Linked DNA regions of Callithrix jacchus. The protein of the gene in region 4 purifies or fractionates together with the protein of the main gene of each other region. This does not show direct contact. Links are inferred from orthologs where the notes say so. Each region holds a gene or a part of one and is shown on either strand. Other genes may lie near its edges.

The links.
Region 1: the proteins of TMEM192 (region 4) and LAMP2 purify together in Homo sapiens (affinity purification with western blotting; 5 studies listed by BioGRID and IntAct, with this or other methods). This does not show direct contact. The link is inferred for Callithrix jacchus from reciprocal best matches to the Homo sapiens genes TMEM192 and LAMP2.
Region 2: the proteins of TMEM192 (region 4) and LAMP1 purify together in Homo sapiens (affinity purification with mass spectrometry; 3 studies listed by BioGRID and IntAct, with this or other methods). This does not show direct contact. The link is inferred for Callithrix jacchus from reciprocal best matches to the Homo sapiens genes TMEM192 and LAMP1.
Region 3: the proteins of TMEM192 (region 4) and CTSD purify together in Homo sapiens (affinity purification with western blotting; 3 studies listed by BioGRID, with this or other methods). This does not show direct contact. The link is inferred for Callithrix jacchus from reciprocal best matches to the Homo sapiens genes TMEM192 and CTSD.
Region 5: the proteins of TMEM192 (region 4) and ACP2 purify together in Homo sapiens (affinity purification with mass spectrometry; 3 studies listed by BioGRID and IntAct, with this or other methods). This does not show direct contact. The link is inferred for Callithrix jacchus from reciprocal best matches to the Homo sapiens genes TMEM192 and ACP2.

Annotation. Positions count from the first base shown.
Region 1 is NC_133524.1:116,348,476-116,352,579, reverse strand, and holds the start of LAMP2 (lysosome-associated membrane glycoprotein 2), read left to right. Parts: upstream 1-1,295; 5' UTR 1,296-1,418; coding exon 1,419-1,482; intron 1,483-4,104. UniProt on the Homo sapiens protein: Lysosomal membrane glycoprotein which plays an important role in lysosome biogenesis, lysosomal pH regulation and autophagy.
Region 2 is NC_133502.1:28,771,960-28,775,472, forward strand, and holds the end of LAMP1 (lysosome-associated membrane glycoprotein 1), read left to right. Parts: intron 1-345; coding exon 346-471; intron 472-1,213; coding exon 1,214-1,280; intron 1,281-1,359; coding exon 1,360-1,530; intron 1,531-2,088; coding exon 2,089-2,228; 3' UTR 2,229-3,007; downstream 3,008-3,513. UniProt on the Homo sapiens protein: Lysosomal membrane glycoprotein which plays an important role in lysosome biogenesis, lysosomal pH regulation, autophagy and cholesterol homeostasis.
Region 3 is NC_133511.1:130,135,056-130,138,569, reverse strand, and holds part of CTSD (cathepsin D), read right to left. Parts: intron 1,654-3,514; coding exon 1,531-1,653; intron 749-1,530; coding exon 604-748; intron 525-603; coding exon 426-524; intron 2-425; coding exon 1-1. UniProt on the Homo sapiens protein: Acid protease active in intracellular protein breakdown. Plays a role in APP processing following cleavage and activation by ADAM30 which leads to APP degradation.
Region 4 is NC_133504.1:29,996,531-30,000,481, reverse strand, and holds the start of TMEM192 (transmembrane protein 192), read right to left. Parts: upstream 2,807-3,951; 5' UTR 2,693-2,806; coding exon 2,666-2,692; intron 2,308-2,665; exon of another isoform or gene 2,197-2,307; coding exon 2,065-2,196; intron 1-2,064.
Region 5 is NC_133511.1:112,302,539-112,306,052, forward strand, and holds part of ACP2 (lysosomal acid phosphatase), read right to left. Parts: coding exon 3,365-3,514; intron 3,269-3,364; coding exon 3,170-3,268; intron 3,092-3,169; coding exon 3,002-3,091; intron 2,559-3,001; coding exon 2,426-2,558; intron 503-2,425; coding exon 420-502; intron 309-419; coding exon 202-308; intron 84-201; coding exon 1-83.

The DNA.
Region 1 (4,104 bases), on a different chromosome or scaffold from region 4:
CGGAAATAGTCTACTATCTACAGCCCTCAAAAGTTCCTCCTCTCTCCTTAGCCTTACAAAATGCCATCTGCCATGGGCATGGGCAAAGACTTCATAACTAAAACACCAAAAGCAATTGCAACAAAAGTCAAAATCGACAAACAGGATCTAATTAAAACAGCTTCCACACAGCAAAAGAAACCACCATCAGAGTGAACAGGCAACTTGCAGAATGGGAGAAAATTTTTGTAATCTACCCATCTGACAAAGGTCTAATATCCAGAATCTACAAGGAACTTAAATTTTGAAGAAAAAAAACATCAAAAAGTGGGCAAAGGATATGAACAGACACTTCTCAAAAGAAGACATTATGCCAACAAAAATGAAAAAAAGCTCATCGTCACTGGACACTAGAGAAATACAAATCAAAACCGCAATGAGATACCATCTCACGCCAGTCAGAATAGCGATTATAAAAAAGTCAGGAAACAATAGATGCTGGGGAGGCTGTGGAGAAATAGGAATGCTTTAATACTGTTGGAGGGAGTGTAAATCAGTTCAATCATTGTGGAAGACAGTGTAGCGATTCCTCAAGGGTCTAGAACCAAAAATACCATTTGACGCATGCACATGTATGTTTATTGCAGCAGTATTAAGAATAGCAAAGACTTAGAACCAACCCAAATGCTTATCAATGATAGACTGGATAAAGAAACATGGCACATATACACCATGGAATACTATGCAGCCATAAAAAGGAATGAGATCATGTCCTTTGCAGGGACACGGATGAAACTGGAAGCCATTATCCTCAGCAAACTAACACCGTCACAGAAAACCAAACACTGAATGTTCTCACTCATAGGTGGGAGTTGAACAATGAGAACGCATGGACACAGGGAGAGGAACAACACACACTGGGGCCTGTCAGGTGGTAGGGGCCATGAGGAGGGAGAGCATTAAGACAAATATCTAATGCATGTGGGGCTTAAAACCTAGATGATGGGTTGATAGGTGCAGCAAACCACCATGGCACATATATACCTATGTAACAGACAGGCACATTCTGCACATATATCCCGGAACTTAAAGTAAAATTTATAACAATGAAAGAAAGAAAAAAAAAAAAAAAAGAAAATGCCGTCCGCGCATATCTCTTAGGAGCATAGGAAGTGTTGTGAACCAAAAAGCCAGGGCGTGGTATCCCCGCCCACCTGCCTCTACATCACCACCCCTCTCGCCGCTTTCAAGCGCGGAGATTGGCTGTAAGCAAGAAAGAGCCCCGCCCCTAGTCTTATGACTCCCGCTGAAGCGCCGATTACTGGTTTTTGCAACGCTGTGGTCGGTGGTCACCCGTGCTCTTGACCCAGGTCTAGCGAGCCTTTTCCCTGGTGTTGCAGCCCTTGTTGTACCTCCGCCGCCGCTTGCTCTGCGGAATCATGTTGTGCTTCCGCCTCTTCCCGGTTCCTGGCTCAGGGCTTGTTCTGGTCTGCCTAGTCCTGGGTGAGTTGTCGGGCCCTTCCGATTAGTCTGTGCGCTTGGGCCTGGGGCGCCAGTTCTACAACCTGAAAGACTGGTCCGAGGGTGAGGGGGTTGAGAGGCTCAGCAGCAGACACTTGGCGGCGGCGGTTGGCCCGGGCAGGCGAGGAATGACCTAGAGAAGGCCTGACCGAGGGATGGCGGGGAAGAAGGGCCCAGGAGAGTAAGAAGGGGCCGGTAACGGGGGTGGACGCCGAGGGAGTAGGCTGGGAGGAGTGACGCGTGGAGAGGGTCGGGGTGGAAAGAGTAACTTGGGGAAAACACTGAGGAGTGAGCGTAGGAGGGTGGTACATGCAGATTTTGGGTGCCAGAGACAATTAGGAGAGTCCTGGTTTGTTGAGACCACGGAAGAGTTTTGAAGATGGTGGAAAAACTATGGGGTGAGATAGGAAATTAAGAGGGGAGACCATGCCTGCCAGGAGTAGCTTGGTGGAAGAATGTGGGTTGGGGCAGATAGGACACTAGAGCCTGAGGGGCAGGGGCAGGGACAGGGTTGGGCATTTTGTAGGTAGGAATTTGAGGCTGTGAAGAAAGGGTGATCAAGAGATGAGGAGTGATACTGGGTTTGAGTTTGGCAGTCACAGTTGTTGAGGGGGAAGGAACCTAAGGTATCTGGGGAGATTTCCAGGAAAGAAAATTTGGACTCAACCTCTGGGGACTAAGGGGTTCAGTGGGAACTTTGATGGGGAGTGCATATCTACTTGGAGGTATTGAGGATGTCGATTTTCTCCCAGTTTTGCTACTTCCTCCCAGCCAGGCACTGACAAAAAAATCCCCAGACGTTTCAGTTGGGAGGGCCTCCCACATGTGAGGTTTTGCGGGTGGAGTATCTGAGTTTGGTAGACTACCTCTTTGCCTTCAGAGTCTCTTGTTTTTTTCATCATCACACAACTAGCCTATTACCTCATTTTTGGGGGGTACAGGGAGCAGTTAGAAAAATTGCTAAGGATTGAGTTGTTACCAGGGCCTAAGAATGGCTGGATGGGACTCATTGCAGTGGCTCGAACCTGTAATCCCAGCACTTTGGGAGGCTGAGGTTGATGGATCACCTGAGGTCAGGAGTTCGAGAAAAATACAAAATATTTTTCTCTACTAAAAATACAAAATAGCTGAGTGTGGTGGTGGGTGCCTGTAATCCCAGCTACTTGGGAGGCTGAGGCAGGAGAATGGCTTGAACCCAGGAAACAGAGGTTACAGCGAGCCGAGATCGTGCCATTACACTCCGGCCTGGGTGACAAGAGTGAAACTCTCTCTCAAAATAATAATAATAATAATAAAAGAATGGCTGGATGACTGTTTGCTGATTGTGTTGTACCTTAATAGATAATGGATCCCTAACAGCTTTCATTGCCTAAAGCTGAACTTTGACCAGAGTGTCTCTTCCTGACCTGATTCATGCTGTGCTTGTTGCTACCCACCTGCTCTTGCTATTTCTGACCTAATTAAATAACATAAGGAGCAGACCCAGATGAGAGTGGGGAGGAAATAGACCTATTAAGGGTCTGAGAAAGCAGTGAGAGATATACATTTTGTAATTCACATTTCAGTAGAATAAAATCAACACCCTGGAATAGTGATTCTCAACCAGGGGACATTTGGCAGTATCTGGAAACATTTTTGGTTGTCACAACTGGGGGATTGCCTTTAGCATCTAGTGGGTAGAGGCCAAGGATGCTGCTAAACATCCTAACCAAGCACAGGGCAGGCCCTCACAACAAAGAATTATCTTCCTGAAAATGTCAGTGGTGCCAAGGTTGAGAAGCCCTGCTCAAAAACCATGGTATTGAAAGAGTTCCTGATTATCTAAGTCACTGACTCGCAAGGACTTTTTATAGGTCTGTGAAATCAAAACTTCAGAATAATGTTAAGAAGGTATTTGTCCTTTTTGGCTGGGTACAGTGGCTCACGCCTGTAATACCAGCACTTTGGGAGGCCAAGGCTGGCAGATCACCTGAGGTCAGGAGTTCAAGACTAGCCTGACCAACATGGTGACACCCAGTCTGTACTAAATATACAAAAATTATATGGGTGTGGTGGCACATACCTGTAATCCCAGCTACTTGGGAGGCTGAGGCAGGAGAATCTCTTGAACCCGGGAGGCAGAGGTTGCAGTGAGCCTAGATCACACCACTGCACTCCAGCTTGGGTAACAAGAGTGAAAGTCCGTCTCAAAAAGGAAAAAAAAAGACGGTATTTGTCCTTTTCACTCTTATCCTCTCACCAGTGTACAGCAGTTTTCCAGAAGCTACACAACCTGTGATGTCCTCACCACTCTGACGTTCTTGCATTTTATTCATTTCTCAGTTTTAATTTCTAATACTGTAATACCAATACATATGACTCACTTAAACCTCCATGAGGTCCTCAGTGGATAAGAAAGTAAGAGGGTCCTGACACCAAAATATTTGGGAATCCCTGATGTACTCCAACGGTTCACATGGTGCAGGAAAGTCTTCTGTACCACTTCTGAAAGGGGGCCATGAGGCTTTGCTTGAATACTTAATTCTAAGCCTTAACTGTATCTTGGAGCACTTACTGAGGGCAGACTGACCCTAAGAAAGGATTGTTTACAATGGAAAGTACCTT
Region 2 (3,513 bases), on a different chromosome or scaffold from region 4:
TTTAAGTGTTACATATTTATACTTTTCTTTTGAAATAGTTTTTCTCCCCTAATAGTGACAGGCTATGGGTTTGTGGGGGCGAGTTTGCAGGGTTGACGGCTGCAGGGGGAGGTGGTGCTGGTTGGTGCCATCCACGCAGGGACGCCACACTCTGAAAGCAGCTGTCACAGTGGCCAGGAGTCATCTTGGGATCCTGAAATCTGTACCAGTGTGGACTTACAGTGCTTCCTTCTCGTTTTGGTTAAAACAAATGTGGCCTTGAATTCATGGTTTCAGGACTGTTTTTCTTTTTTTGAGCATCTGGAGGACCTGGCTGGGGTGATGACTTGCTTGGTTGTCTTACAGACGGTGACAAAACTTCTCAACATCAACCCCAACAAGACCTTGGCCACCGGGAGCTGTGGCACCCACCTGGTGACCCTGGAGCTGCGCGATGAGGGTGGCACGGTCCTGCTGTTCCAGTTTGGGATGGTGAGGCCGGGTGTCCCTTGTGCCCTGGGTCTGCTCATGGGTAGCAGAATTAGGAACAAGGCAGCCTCACTTTTTCCTGCCTTTTTAAAATCCTGGTTACTCAGTAATCGATTTGGGCGGGGCTGCCGTGCCCACAGTGGGGTGGCTGCAGGGGTAAGGCTGCTGCTGTGAGGCCACGAGGCCTTCTGGCCTCAGACGCTGCTGCCCTACAGCCACGGGGTGGCCTTTCTGCCTGGAGCACTCCTGTGCAGTGAGCAACACAGTTAGGAAGAATATAAATGTCACTTGTCAATCTTTTTAAGTCGCTGTGCAGATGAATTAGCAGTTCAGTTTCCTACCATTTGAACTTTCCAAATCATGCTTTCCTGTGCCGTAAGAGCTCCTGCAGGCCCCGCTTCTCAGAGACTCTAACTCTATGAAGAGGTCTGGAAGGACCAGCCTGGCCGCACAGGGAGGCTCTGTCTCCACAAGTGATAAAACGATCGCTTGAGCCCAGGAGTTGAGGTTGCAGTGAGCCATGATCACACCGTTGTACTCCAGCCTGGGCGACAGAGCAAGACTCTCAGAAAAGGGCGTGGAAGGAACTAACTGGAATTCACTGGCCTTTTATAGACAGGATATTCTGTAGTTTTGTTCAAAAACTAGAAACATGGGAAGTCAAATTTTTTACCAAATGACCTTTCAAGTTTAATGATAGATGTTCGAGTCTACTCAGTGGTTAAAGATCATCTTTCTTTTTAAGAATGCAAGTTCTAGCCGTTTTTTCCTACAAGGAATCCAGTTGAATACAACTCTTCCTGACGCCAGAGGTGAGAACCCACAATCTCTGGAGCCCCTGCTCCCCACCCAGAGTGCCCCGGAGTTACTTGACTTGTGTGTGTGTTGCAGACCCCACATTTAAAGCCTCCAACAACTCCCTGAGAGCGCTGCAGGCCACCGTTGGCAACTCCTACAGGTGCAACGCCGAGGAGCGCGTCCGCGTCACCAAGGCGCTTTCCGTCAACATATTCAAAGTCTGGGTCCAGGCTTTCAAGGTGGACGGTGACCAGTTTGGCTCTGGTGAGTGTCGCCGAGGGCAGCTGTCCCGGGGTGTAGAGGACGCACTTCAGACTCCACCTGTGGATATTTAATCGCTTCTGTGTGGCCTGGGGCAACACCCTTGTTCCTATGCAAGCCGTTTCTTCTTCCCGGTCTGAGATTCTAGAGGAAACTCCCCCTGCTTTAGAGAGGCCCAGCGTATCTCTGAGCTGGGAACCCCTGGTACCATTTGAGAGTAAGGGTGTCATTTTAAGAACAGTGGTGGCGTTTCTCCCATGAAAGTTGAATGCAAAACCATCATCCGATGTGCTCTGTGTTCCAGGAAGCCCGGAGGCTCTGGACACAGCACAGCTGCCCAGCCACAGCCCCTGATTCCAGCCGGGGGAAAACATGTGTGGTTTCCCAGCTGTGCAGAGCGCGCCAGTCTCTGCAGCGGCTCCCCCAAGCGACAGCCGGACCTGGAGCCGTCTGCCAGAGTTCCTCTTGGCTTGTGGCTGACGTGGGGGAGTGGCGGGGAGAGAGGCCTGTTAGCAGGCCCCTGTGTGAGTGGAAGCTGACACTGTCCGTGTGTCTTGGCAGTGGAGGAGTGTCTGCTGGACGAGAACAACATGCTGATCCCCATCGCTGTGGGCGGCGCCTTGGCGGGGCTGGTCCTCATCGTCCTCATCGCCTACCTCGTTGGAAGGAAGAGGAGTCACGCCGGCTACCAGACGATCTAGCCCGGTGCAGGCACAGCGGCTGCGGGCCTCAGTCCTTTCCCTGGCATAGGGTCCTGTTGAGGGAGGCACACTTTCTGGCAACGTTTCTCAAATCTGCTTCATTCAACGTGAAGTTCATCTTGCAGCATTCACTATGCACAACAGAGTAACTATTGAAATGACGGTGTTAATTTTGCTAACTGGGTTAAATATTTTGCTAACTGGTTAAACATTAATATTTACCAAAGTAGAACTCTAAGGAAGGGTGGGAGCGCTGCTCTAAATTGGCACTGGCTCAGCTCTCGTTTGACTTTAAGATTCTGGTGTTTGGTTTCTTGGTTCTTTACTGCACTCAGATTGAAGCCTTACAAAGGGAAAGCCTCCGGCCGTCACGGGTGGGACGCATGAAGGTCACTCACAGTTTCAACAGTAGAGAGGGAAAGTCCTGAGACAGACTCCAGAGATGAGCGTCTCAAGTGCTCCAGTTCAGCTTTAAAGGCCACACGCGGCTGGCGCCCTGTCCCCATTCTACGGGCGGCACTCGGCGGCACATCCTTGGGCGTTTCTGATGCTCTGCGGCTCAAGGGCTGGCACTTTTTTAACTATAAAAATGGGTGTTATTTTTATGTTTTTTGTAAAGTGATTTCGGTCTTCTGTTGACATTCGGGGTGATCCTGTTCTGCGCTGTGTACAATGTTAGATGCGCTCCTGGTGTGTCGCCGCGGCTTGGGGGTTGTACACAGCATTGGCTCACGTAACGCATTGCCTGTAACAATGTAATAAAAAGCCTCTTTCTTTTTTGTCTGGGCCTTGTCCTTTTGTCAGCTAAAATGGGAGCTCATGAGAGAAGGATGTCAGGGAAACGGGGGTGAGGCCTGTCTCGGTGCAGTGAGAGGACGTCGGGGAAATGGGGGTGAGGCCGGTCTCGGTGCAGGGAGAGGACTTCAGGGAAATGGGGGCGAGGCCGGTCTTGGTGCAGTGAGAGGGCGTCGGGGAAACGGGGGCGAGGCCGGTCTCGGTGCAGTGAGAGGACGTAGGGGAAATGGGGGTGAGGCCGGTCTCGGTGCAGGGAGAGGACGTAGGGGAAATGGGGGCGAGGCCGGTCTTGGTGCAGGGAGAGGACGTCAGGGAAATGGGGGCAAGGCCGGTCTCGGTGTAGGGAGAGGACGTCGGGGAAACGGGGGTGAGGCATAGCCTGGCGTTGGGAGCTGACGTAGCCATTCTTACGGACGGTAGTTAAGATGTCTCAGGATCCGTCTTTCATTTTGAACAACGTGGCCATGTTGCTGTGTTCTCTCTTGGGGAA
Region 3 (3,514 bases), on a different chromosome or scaffold from region 4:
CCTGGGATGGGGCTGGCGGTCAGCACCCAGGCCTGGCACCACCCGCAACCCGCCGTGGGCATCCAGACCATGAGCATCCCCGCCTGTTGCCCACTCACCTGGAGTATGCCCCCCAACTGCCTGCTCACCTGGAGCGCGCACCCCCACCCTGCCCACTCACCTGGGGTGTCTCCCCTCCCCCACCAACCACTCACCTGGGGTGTCTCCCCTCCCTCCACCATCCACTCACCTGGGGTGCCTTCCCCCCTCCTGCCCACTCACCTGGGGTGTGCCTTCCCCCACCCCGCCCACTCACCTGGGGTGTGCCTTCCCCCCTCCGCCCACTCACCTGGGGTGCCTTCCCCCCTCCTGCCCACTCACCTGGGGTATGCCTTCCCCCACCCCGCCTGCTCACCTGGGGCACGAGGCCCCTATGGCCTGCCCACCTTGAGTGTGTAGTCCTGCGGGGACAGCTCGTAGTCTTTGCCTCCCAGCTTCAGCATGATCACGGGCAGGGTGGACACCTTCTCACAGGGGATCATGTACTGAGAGGGACCAAGCAGTGTCAGGGTGGCAGCGGTGGCCGTGGGGCTCCACCCCACCAGCCCCAGCCCCAGTGCTCACCTCGCCCTGGATCAGCGGCATGGCCCCAATGGCCTTCTGCAGCTCCCGCACCTCATCCACAGGGCCCACCATGAGGGACGTGCCCGTGTCCACAATGGCCTCACAGCCCCCCTTGCACAAGGTCAGCCCGCTGGCTACCTCCACCCTGTGGGAAGTCAAGGCGTGAGGCCCATGCCCAATCACAATGTGCACTGGGGGCCCAGTGCCCGTCCCCAGGAGCCCTTCCCTGGCACTCTCCTCTCTAGGCTGCCGATGCACAGGGGGCTGTAGGCCCTCCAGGGTGAGGGGTGGGAGAAGAGACGCAGGGTGGCAGAGAGGGTGGGAGACCCTCAGGTGGTAGTGAGGGGCATGGGGGGCATGGAGAGCATAGAAGAGATGGAGAAGATGGAGGGATGGAGGGATAGAGGGAAGGAGGATGTATAGAGGGATGGATGGAGGGGATGGAGGGATGGATGGGATGGAGGAAGAGATGGAGGGATAGAGGGATGGACAGGATGGAGGGATGGATGGAGGGAATGAAGGGAGAGATGGAGGGATGGATGGAGGGGATGGAGGCATAGAGCGTAGGAGGGATGGAGGGGATAGAAGAGATAGAGACAGGGATGGAGGGGCATGGAGGTCACAGAGAAACAGAGGGATGGAAGAGCACGGAAGGGATGGAGGCGCATGGAGGGAGGGAGGGTCATGTTCCCAGAGGAGGGAAGCCCCAGTGACCAAGCGTCACGGAGTCACAGAGGGATGGAAGGCATGAAGAGTCATGGAGGGGATGGAGGGCATGGAGGCTGGTCCAACCCCATCTCTTTCTTGCTCAGCTCTACCATTCCCCCCACATGCAACCCCACCTGCAGAACCGGGAGTCCTCCAGGGTCCCCAAACGCCACCCCCCACCCACAGAACCCAGGGGAGCTGCCTGCAGCCACTACTCACTGGTCCATGTGGACCTGCCAGTAGGCCTTGCGGGTGACGTTCAGGTAGAACAGGGAACCCTTGTAATACTTGGAGTCTGTGCCACCCAGCATCAGCTCACCCCCAGGCTGTGCATCTGGGTCCCTGAGAGGAAAAGGAAGGGAGCGTCAGCTGCCACTGCAGCCCCCCGGGTGCTGGGTCAGGAGTAAGGGGGTCAATGTGGCAGTCAGAGAGAGCCTCCTGGACTGGAGGGGTCTTCCTGGACCCGCAGGGATGGAAAGGCCCAGAAGGCAGGAGAGATGGACTCCCTTCTTCCTGGGGTTGGCTTTGCTCATACCCTGGTGAGCCCAGCCTGCCCCAGAAGAGGTTTTCCTCAACACTCAGGTTCTCCTGGTCTGCTTCCGGGACGGGAGAAGGTACAGCCCGGAAGCTGGGATGGCTCGTTCTGGCCCCAGAGCCTCTGCCCCGCTGCTCCTGCAACGTCCTCCACCCACAATCCCGAGCCACGTGGGCTCATCTCCCCTCATCCAGACCGTGGATGGTCAGCACGGCGCTCCCGGGAGGGGTGCACCGCACTTCCTGGACCTGCAGCCCGTGTCGCCGGGGTTCGTTTTTAAACACTGATCAAGTTCAAGCCGCCAACGCAGCAAACCCTGCCAGTCCCGTTAGAGAAGGTCTTCCTGTCTGGGGCGTCTGCGGCTAAGCTGGCCACCATCCCGCTGCCCGTCCCCACAGGGCAGCACCAGGCCTGACCCAGTCCTGCCAACAGGCTCAGCACTCCGCCCTCCTCCACCTGTGCTCCCGTCAGCACCTCTGCAATCCCAAGTATAGAAACCCGAGCAGCGCCTCCTATCCAACTCACGTTCCCCGCAGCCAAAACTGCCTTTCCAAGCCCTCAGACCCTCACCCCTGCCTGGCTTCACTTCCTGCCCCAGCCACGGCCTTGGGACCAAACCTGGGCACTCACACCTGCGTGCCCCTCCCGTACCCCATGCCCCTTCCCCATGTGGACACTCAACTCTGTGTCCGTCCCACCTAAGCACTCACACCCGTGTGCCCCCTCCCCACATGGACACTCACCCTGTGTCCCTTCCCCCACTCTCGCACTCATGCGGACATTCATGCCTGAGTGCCCCTCCCCCACCTGGACACTCACACTGTGTGCCCGCTCCCCTGTGCCCCAAGACTCCTGGAGAAATGACCCAGCCGGTTCACCTGTGTCCTGGCCTCTAGTGACCAGCTTTGCCCAGGGTGTTGCTATGGAGTATTCACTGCCCAGGCAAGGGACAGAGCAAAGAGCCAGGCCAGGATGACTGCCGGAATTCTGCTGGAAGTGCACCAAGGTCAGCAGTCAGGCCCAGAGACTCCAAGTGCCAAGTGAGCCACGTGAGGTGAACTGCCCACGTCAGCCCTGGAGAGTGGGGCAGTGGCCAGGCGCAGCTCAGGGTGGGAGGCTGCTGGCTGACAGGCTGCCCACCCTCAAAGCAAAGGTCTCCAACCCCCAGTCACCCCTCCTACAGGGGGGGTGAACCCCCACTCAGGTCAGCCCGAGAAGAGGAAACCAACCAAGGCTGAGGTCCCCTTCCCAAGGTCACCTGACCATGGGTGACAAACGCTGGAGCAGCAGATGCAGGTGGGGGTCCTGGGGACGCTCCCCCTATGCTCCCTGGAGGGCAGCCAGCACCGATGGGGACGCCTAAAGAGCTGCCCGCCGCACGGTGCTGGGGACCCGTGTCCACCCAAGGTCACCTCCCGACAACCCCAGGTCCCTGGACACCATGACCCCTCTACTATCAGCAACCCTGGGACCAGGATCACATGTGCTTATCACCAGGCCCGGGGAGCACCAGGCACTGAACCAAGAGGAACTGCCACGCCCCTGACCTGAGTCTGTTCTCACAGGAGGGAAGCCCCAGCAGCCAAGGTCCGAGGACCCACAGCCTGGCCCAAGCCCCTCCCACTGGGAGACCCTGGCCAAACAGCTTTCTCTGAGATGCTGCTTCTT
Region 4 (3,951 bases):
CTATTTCTAGCATATTTCATGTCTGAATCAGTTTCAAAGGACTCAGTACAGCTCATATTTTCCTGCCTCTTTACATGCCTTGTAATTTTTTATTGAATGCCAGATATTTCCAATTTTACCTCTGTGGGTGCTGGACATTTTCTGTATTCCTATATTCTTGAACTTTGTTCTGCAGTACAGCAAAGTCACGTAGAAACAGTCTGATTTTTTTGGTCTTGCCGTTAAGAAATTAGGTGGACTTCATCTAGGGCTAATTCTACTCCACTACTGAGACAAGACCTTTCTGAGTACTCCACCCGCATGTTCTGTGAATTATGGGGGTTTTGTCTGGCTGGTAGGTGAAATAGGCAGTATTCTTGGCCCTGTATGGAGAAACTGTTCCTTCTAATCCTTTAAGGTGGTTCTTTTTGAGGCCTCCAAAAGCTTCCTCATGCCCCGATTAGCACTCTACTGGATGCCTGGGGGATCCCCATGCAGATCTTCAGAGTTCTCCCTCTTTGTAGCTCTCTCCTCTCTGGGTGCTGTCTTGGGAACTCTAGTTGCCTCCGTCTCCTAGATCCTCAACTCCATCTCACCAACTCAGAAATCTGCTGGGCTCTGCCTGGTTTCCCCGTGCCTTGTCACAGCCTGCACTCTTTCAAGGCAGTAAGCCAGGGCAGTGATGGGGTTCACAGCATTTGTTTCCCATTTCTGAGATTGCTACCCTTTGTTGTCTGACATCCAATATCTCACAAAGTGTTGTATCTTATGTTATATCTAGTTTTTTGGTTGTTTCAGGCACAATGGTACATCTATTCCCGGTTACTCCATGTTGGCTGGGAATTGAAGTACCTACTAAACAATGAATCCATACTATCGCAAAGTCTTTGATTCAACTCATTTAAGTGTCTGCACCCAAAGCATGGTCCACAATTTTTAGCTTTTTACTGAAGACTAGAAATCATGTCTACAAAATACCAAAAGCAGGAGACTTAGTCAGATCTAAAGTGACTTCAATATGTGGTTGGTGTTAAAACATTAATCTCTAATTATTTTTTATTTCTTTTTATTTTTTATTTTTGAGATGGAGTCTCACTCTGTCATCCAGGCTGGAGGGCAGTGGCGTGATCTTGGCTCACTGCAACCTCAGCCTTCTGGGGTCAAGCGATTCTTCTGCCTCAGCCTCCTGAGTAGATGGGATTAGAGGCCCCCACCACCATGCCTGGCTAATTTTTGTATTTTTAGTAGAGACAGAGTTTTTACCATGCTGGCCAAGCTGGTCTCAAACTCCTGACTTTAGGTGATCTGCCTGCCTCTGCCTTCCAAAGTGCTGGGATTACAGGCATGGGCCTCCCAGACTGCTTCGTTCTTCCGTGTTTGATGAAGCAGATTTCTAATACTGTATGCATCCTAAAGCTAAAAGCTACAGATCCAAGAACCCTAGAGCAGCTCAGTATCAACCAAGAAGCACTTACTACGTGGTTTTTCTAAGTCTCTCATTTTCTTCTTACATATTCATTTTTTTCCATATACTGTCAGCTCATGAAGCTCACCCTTAAAAACTCAGAAACAATAGATTTTGCTTTAAATATATATATGAGTCTTAAGTCTACTTACAGGTCTTATAGTTAATTTTCCATTTTCTCAACTCGAAAAAATAGAAAATTTTAGTCTCATTAGAAATGTTTGGTTTTTATTTCATCAAGATTATTTAACTATGGTCACTGCTCAAGAATCTAAGCTACCATAGCGCTGGGACTGTTTCATGTTTCTTTCTTTTCTTAATGTACTTCATTCAGTAGGATCACAGTAATATTCCTACTAATTTATTAACCCAAATTAGTACTTTAACCGTCAACTTTGCATTTCTCAAAAGCAAAAATTACTTTCCAATAGAAAATCCAGTTAATTCTGGACATATATACGTTTCCTCTAAAAACGTCTTATGATACTTAAGCAAAGAAATAAGATTTTTGTAATTATGCTATCATTCTGTATTACACACGCTGTAAACTGGGCCAACTGGTGTTTTTTTCGTAATCTGGTTTGAATCTATCAACGATTTAAAAACCTTTACATTCCTACCATGCTAGATTCAAAACAGCACATGACACTGTTTTTCTCTGGTGTGGGTTTCCAGGCGATGATAGCGACAGGTCTGTCCGCAGTACGCTGGCACCCGGCCCGAGCGTCGCTGTCACTCCAGGTCCATAGCCTCTACAGCCAAGGCAAGGGACCCCACCAGGAAGGGAGATTCGCCCCGCTGCGCCCCTGGGGGGTCCGAGCGGAACCCAGCGGCCCGGCGCCCGGAGACTCGCGGGGAGGAAGGGCTGTCAGGCCAGGCGCGCATCACGTGAAGCTGCCAGTTCCGGGACCAAAGACGCGCCATGCACGTGGGCTGGGCAGCAGCCAGGAACCTTTGGAGCCGCGCGCCCACCGCCCAGAAGCCCGCCCTAGTCTCCACGAGGAAAATTAGCCCGGACCCGGCGTGTCGCAGATTCCACGGCCGCCCGGCGCCCTCCCACAGCCCAGCGCCCAGGCCTCCCCGGCAAAGGCGGCGCCCCCTACGGCTGTGGCCGCACTTGCTAAAGGAGGTTTCCATCCCTCAGCCTCCGCCCAGTGCGCCTCAACACAGGAAAAAGAGGATTCCGGGACCGGCAGCCGCGCGCAGCCTCCGTGCACTCACGTCTTCCATCCTGCCCCCCGCCGCCATTTCCTGACGCCAAAGGTCGAACCCCCGCCAGCCCCGACTCTCCACCTGGGCTGGGACGCTGCTGGAAGCGAAAGTAGCCACCTTCAGGGACCTGCCAGACCCCGCCCTAGACACACCCCCTCCTGCGTCTGCCCCGCCTTCGGCTGTCCCGATCCCCGCCCCCTCAGCCCGGATTAGCTGAGGTGGTGGGAGGGGCGTGCCGGCCCAGAGGACCTGGGCTGTGGGCGGCGGCTACCCCCTGCACCACCTCTGGTCCTGGAGATTCTGGCCGCGTCTGCTCGGTCCTCTCTAACCCGGAGACTTGGGCATTAAAGGATGCCTTCCTAGCCCAAGAATTTAACTATTTTCGGGCTCCACTTACATCTTTTAAGAACATTAACTTTTTTCGGTCTTGCCTAATTTTTGTTTGCAGAGACAGCTCTACGCCTAGGTAGAACCAGCGGTAAAATCCTACTCCACCAGCAGAGGGACAGGAGCAAAATAAAGATTCCAGTTTCCGTCACATGTTTACAGATTTCACCAATGGGAAAACAAAGCAGTTCGGAATGTTTACGGCGTTTGTTTATTTGTTTATTAAGATAAGAGTCTCGCTCTGCTGCCCACCCTGGAGTGCCCTGGCAATACCAGGGCTCACAGTAGCCTCGAACTCCTGGCCTCCTGGCCAGTTCTCCCACCTCAGCTTCTCAAAGTACTGGGATTACAGGCGTGAGCCACTGCGCCATCGTTTCTTTTTAAATGGAGTTTTAAAAAGAAAAAAACTTCAATTAAGTTTTCCAAAAAATACATGATTATAAAAATGTAAGCAAAGAAAGAAAGAAATTTTCTGTTGTTACCGGCTCGCAAAGAGAACCTTGGTATCAGTTAGAATAGATGCACTTTCAGCCGAGCATGGTGGCTCACTCCTGCAATCCCAGCACTTTGGGAGGCCGAGGCGGGTCGATCACGAGGTCAGGACTTCAAGACCAGCCTGGCCAACACAGTGAAACCCCGTCTCTACTAAAAATACAAAAAAATTTGCTGGTCATGGTGGCACGTGCCTGTAGTCCTAGCTACTGGGGAGGCTGAGGCAGAAGAATCGGTTGAACCCAGGAGGTGGAGGTTGCAGTGAGCTCAGATCGGCCTCCCAAAGTACAGGGATTACCGGCATGAGCCACCACTCCCGACCAGCAATTTTTTTTTTCCTCCGGCTTGATATTTTTCAAAATAAAGTCTAAAGGGAAAAGATAGGCTAAAGAGCTTGCTTAACATTTTAGGGTAGG
Region 5 (3,514 bases), on a different chromosome or scaffold from region 4:
AGCGGTGAGGGCAGCCAGGCAGGCTGAGCGGCCAGGGGGCCCTCTCACTCTCGTTCCGAAAGTACATCTCCACTGAGAAATTCCTGAGGGTTGACAGGAGGCCACCTAGGAGCTGCTCAGCCTGCCCATAATGGGGTCCTTGGGCTGCGCTGAGCCACCCCCCGAGGGCCTTTTCCAGAGAACACTGCTAGCTTCACTCACCCAGAATCTTCCTGGTACAGTTCAAATATGTGGCAGGAAGCGTAGGGGGCTTGTTCGCCATTGTAGACGTCCAGTGCCATTTGCAGGGCGACCAGGGTAGTGTCGTGCTGTGAGGGATAGGGGCTCCCCATCAGCACTGTTCCCCGCACCCCCAGGAACCGAACAGAGAAGAAATCCAGCTCCTTGCCTGACACAGCACAGGGAGCACCGGCGCTTACCGCAGAGTAAACCAGCAGCTTGGGGAGCTGGGAGGTGGTCGCCATTAGGGTCAAGTTCTTCCGTATCTGAGCCAGCAGGACTCCTGAAGGAGAAAAGTCCCTGGTGTTGGTGGCTACAGCCACCTCTGCCTTCTAATTAGACATGTCTGTGCTCCTTTCAGCCCCTGCCAGTCCTGGGCCTCATCACCTACATGGATAACTCTTCAGTGTCATAGGGACCATGCAGGAACTCTGTGGCGCCCCTATCTCTAAGAACTGTCAAATGTACAGAAGGACGCAAAACAAAACAAGATATCTACCTATATTTCTTTTTTTATTTTTTGTTTTGAGACAGAGTCTCATTCTTTCACCCAGGCTGGAGTACAGTGGCATGATTTCAGCTCACTGCAACCTCTGCCTCCCGAGTTCAAGCCAATTCTCCTGCCTCAGCCTCCCCAGAAGCTGGGGCATGCCACCACACCCGGCTGATTTTTGAATTTTTAGTAGAGACAGCATTTCACCATGTTGGCCAGGCTGGTCTTGAACTATTGACCTCAGGTGATCTACCCACCTCAGCCTCCCAAAGTCCTGGGATTACAGGCATGAGCCACCGCACCCAGCCTCTACCTATATTTCAACATGGATGCAGAAACCTGCCCATGTTTATAGAAGCACTTCAGTTTGAAACAAATGTAAACTTAAGATTGCTTCAGAGTACACAGTGGGTGAGTCCTTATCAGGTAACTGCCATATCCTCTGAAAACTGAGATGTCAAAAGGTTTGAAGGCAGGCATACCTTTGGGTGCTAAAATGAGGAAGCTGGCATGTGTGTTACTCTCAGCCTTCTCAAAATGGCCCCCCATGGTTCTCTGGGGTTGGCTATTCATTTAGGAGAGGGAGGATCTTCTGATGTGGGTGAAACTTGAGAAGAATATGAATGGCAGGGCTGGGTGCGGTGGCTCATACGTGTAATCCTAGCACTTTGGAAGGCTGAGGTGGGCAGATCACCAGAGGTCAGGAGTTTGAGACCAGCCTGACCAATATATTGAAACCCTGTCTCTGCTAAAAATACAAAAATTAGCTGGGTGTGATGGCATGCACCTATAGTCCCAGCTACTTGGGAGACTGAGGCAGGAGAATCCCTTGAACCTAGGAGGTAGAGGTTGCAGTGAGCCGAGATCATGCCACTGCACTTCAACCTGGGTAACAGAGTAAGACTCTGTTTCAAAATAAATAAATAGGCCAGGTGCAGTGGCTCATGGCTATAATCCCAGCACTTTGGTGGATCACCTGAGGTCAGGAGTTCAAGAGCAACCTGGCCAACATGGTGAAACGCTTTTTCTTCTAAAAATACAAAAATTAGCTGGGCATGGAGGTGCACACCTGTAATCCCAGCTACTCGGGAGGCTGGGGCAGGAGAATTGGCTTGAACCCAGGAGTCGAAGGTTGTAGGGTTGTAGTGAGCCAAGATCGCACAATTGCACTCCAGCCTGGGTGACAAGAGGGAAACTCTATCCCCCCTGAAAGAATAAATATATTTTTTAAAAAGACTATGAGCCAGGCGTGGTGGCTTACAACTGTAATCCCAGCACTTTGGGAGGCTGAGGCAGGTAGATCACAAGGTCAGAAGTTCGAGACCAGCCTGACCAACATGGTGAAATCCCATCTCTACTAAAAATACAAAAAAATTAGCCAAGCACGGTGGCACACTCCTGTAATCCCAGCTACTCAGAAGGCTGAGGCAAAAGAATTGCTTGAACCCGGGAACCAAGGTTACTATGACCTGAGATCCTGCTACTGCACTCCAACCTGGGCAACAGAGTAAGACTCCATCTCCAAAAAAAAAGGAGTATGAATGGCAGAAAAGAAGGAGAGCTGGGGAAATCTGGTGACTGACAGCATGAGGAGGAGGATTTCGTTTTGAAAGAGCAGGGAATGTTTCAGTAGAGGGGGAAGTGTGTGAGAAGCCCCCACAGCAGACCTTAGGGTCCTGAGGAGCAGAGTGACATGCTGCCCTTGTCACTCACCCCCCTGAAGCCGGGCCTTCTCCGCCTGCTGGTAGATTCCGAAGAGGAAGCGGAAGCTGAAGTCCTTTAGCCGGCTCAGACGCTGCATGGTTTGGGGTGAGGCCCAGGGCGGCAGGTGCAGCCCGTGCGTTTGCTGTGTATCGCAGCGGGCAGGTTAGTGCCCCAGGCCTAGGCCAGAGCCTCTCCAGGGGGCAGCTCTCTTCCCCAGTGGGAAGGTGCCTGTGTGTATGAGGGAGGGAGGGAGAGAAGAGAGAGGGAGAGAGCCTGGAGCCAGTAGACATGGCAGTTGGTGTGGATGCTGCAGGGTACAGGAAAGGAAGCCCCGGCATGAAATGTGAGACTCAGCAGAAAGGAGCTCTGGGTGGAGAGCAGCAGGGACTGCTGACAGTTAACAAACTGTTTCCCACTCTGAGGATCTCTGTCACCAGTGAGGGAAGTTCCCAGGTTTCACAAGCACAGCTTCCCTGGACCTCCACAGGGGCGTGACGGTAACAGGCACCATGTTCTACTGTCCTGGTGACCTGGGCCTGCTGAGGGGGAGAAGAGTGACCAGAGTGGTCACCCTCGTGGGCTCACCTCACAGAAGAGTGTGTCATAGACATTCCAGACGCTCTCCAGTGTCAGGTCTGTAAGCCCTGTCTCGTTGGCCACCATGTCCAGAAATTGCTATGGAAAACAGACAGGGGATCAGTCCTGCTGTGGGTAAAGGACAGCATGGTGACCTCCACCTCCGCCCCAACTCACTGCATTGCGAGAACTCTCGTTCTGATACTCTGGTGTCTGCCGGGTCTCGTTCTGCAGCTGCTCATAACGGGGACATGGGCCCAATGGGAACTTCAGCAGCTGTAGAGCGAAGTGGGGAAAAGGAGCCTGGCATCAGCAGGTCCACGGCCAGAGTTGTTACCTCACCACCAGCCCAGGGGCGCTGGCCACTCTCACCCTGTCCTCAGCAATAGGCACAGTGTGCACGGGGATAGGCTGCCACGAGATGTTTGGGTTGAAGCGCTGCATCCCGTTGGGAGGGAAGAGTCCAGCCAGGTTGGCCTCAGCACTCATGAGAGTCCGATCAAAGTCTGTGCTTCGCACGTA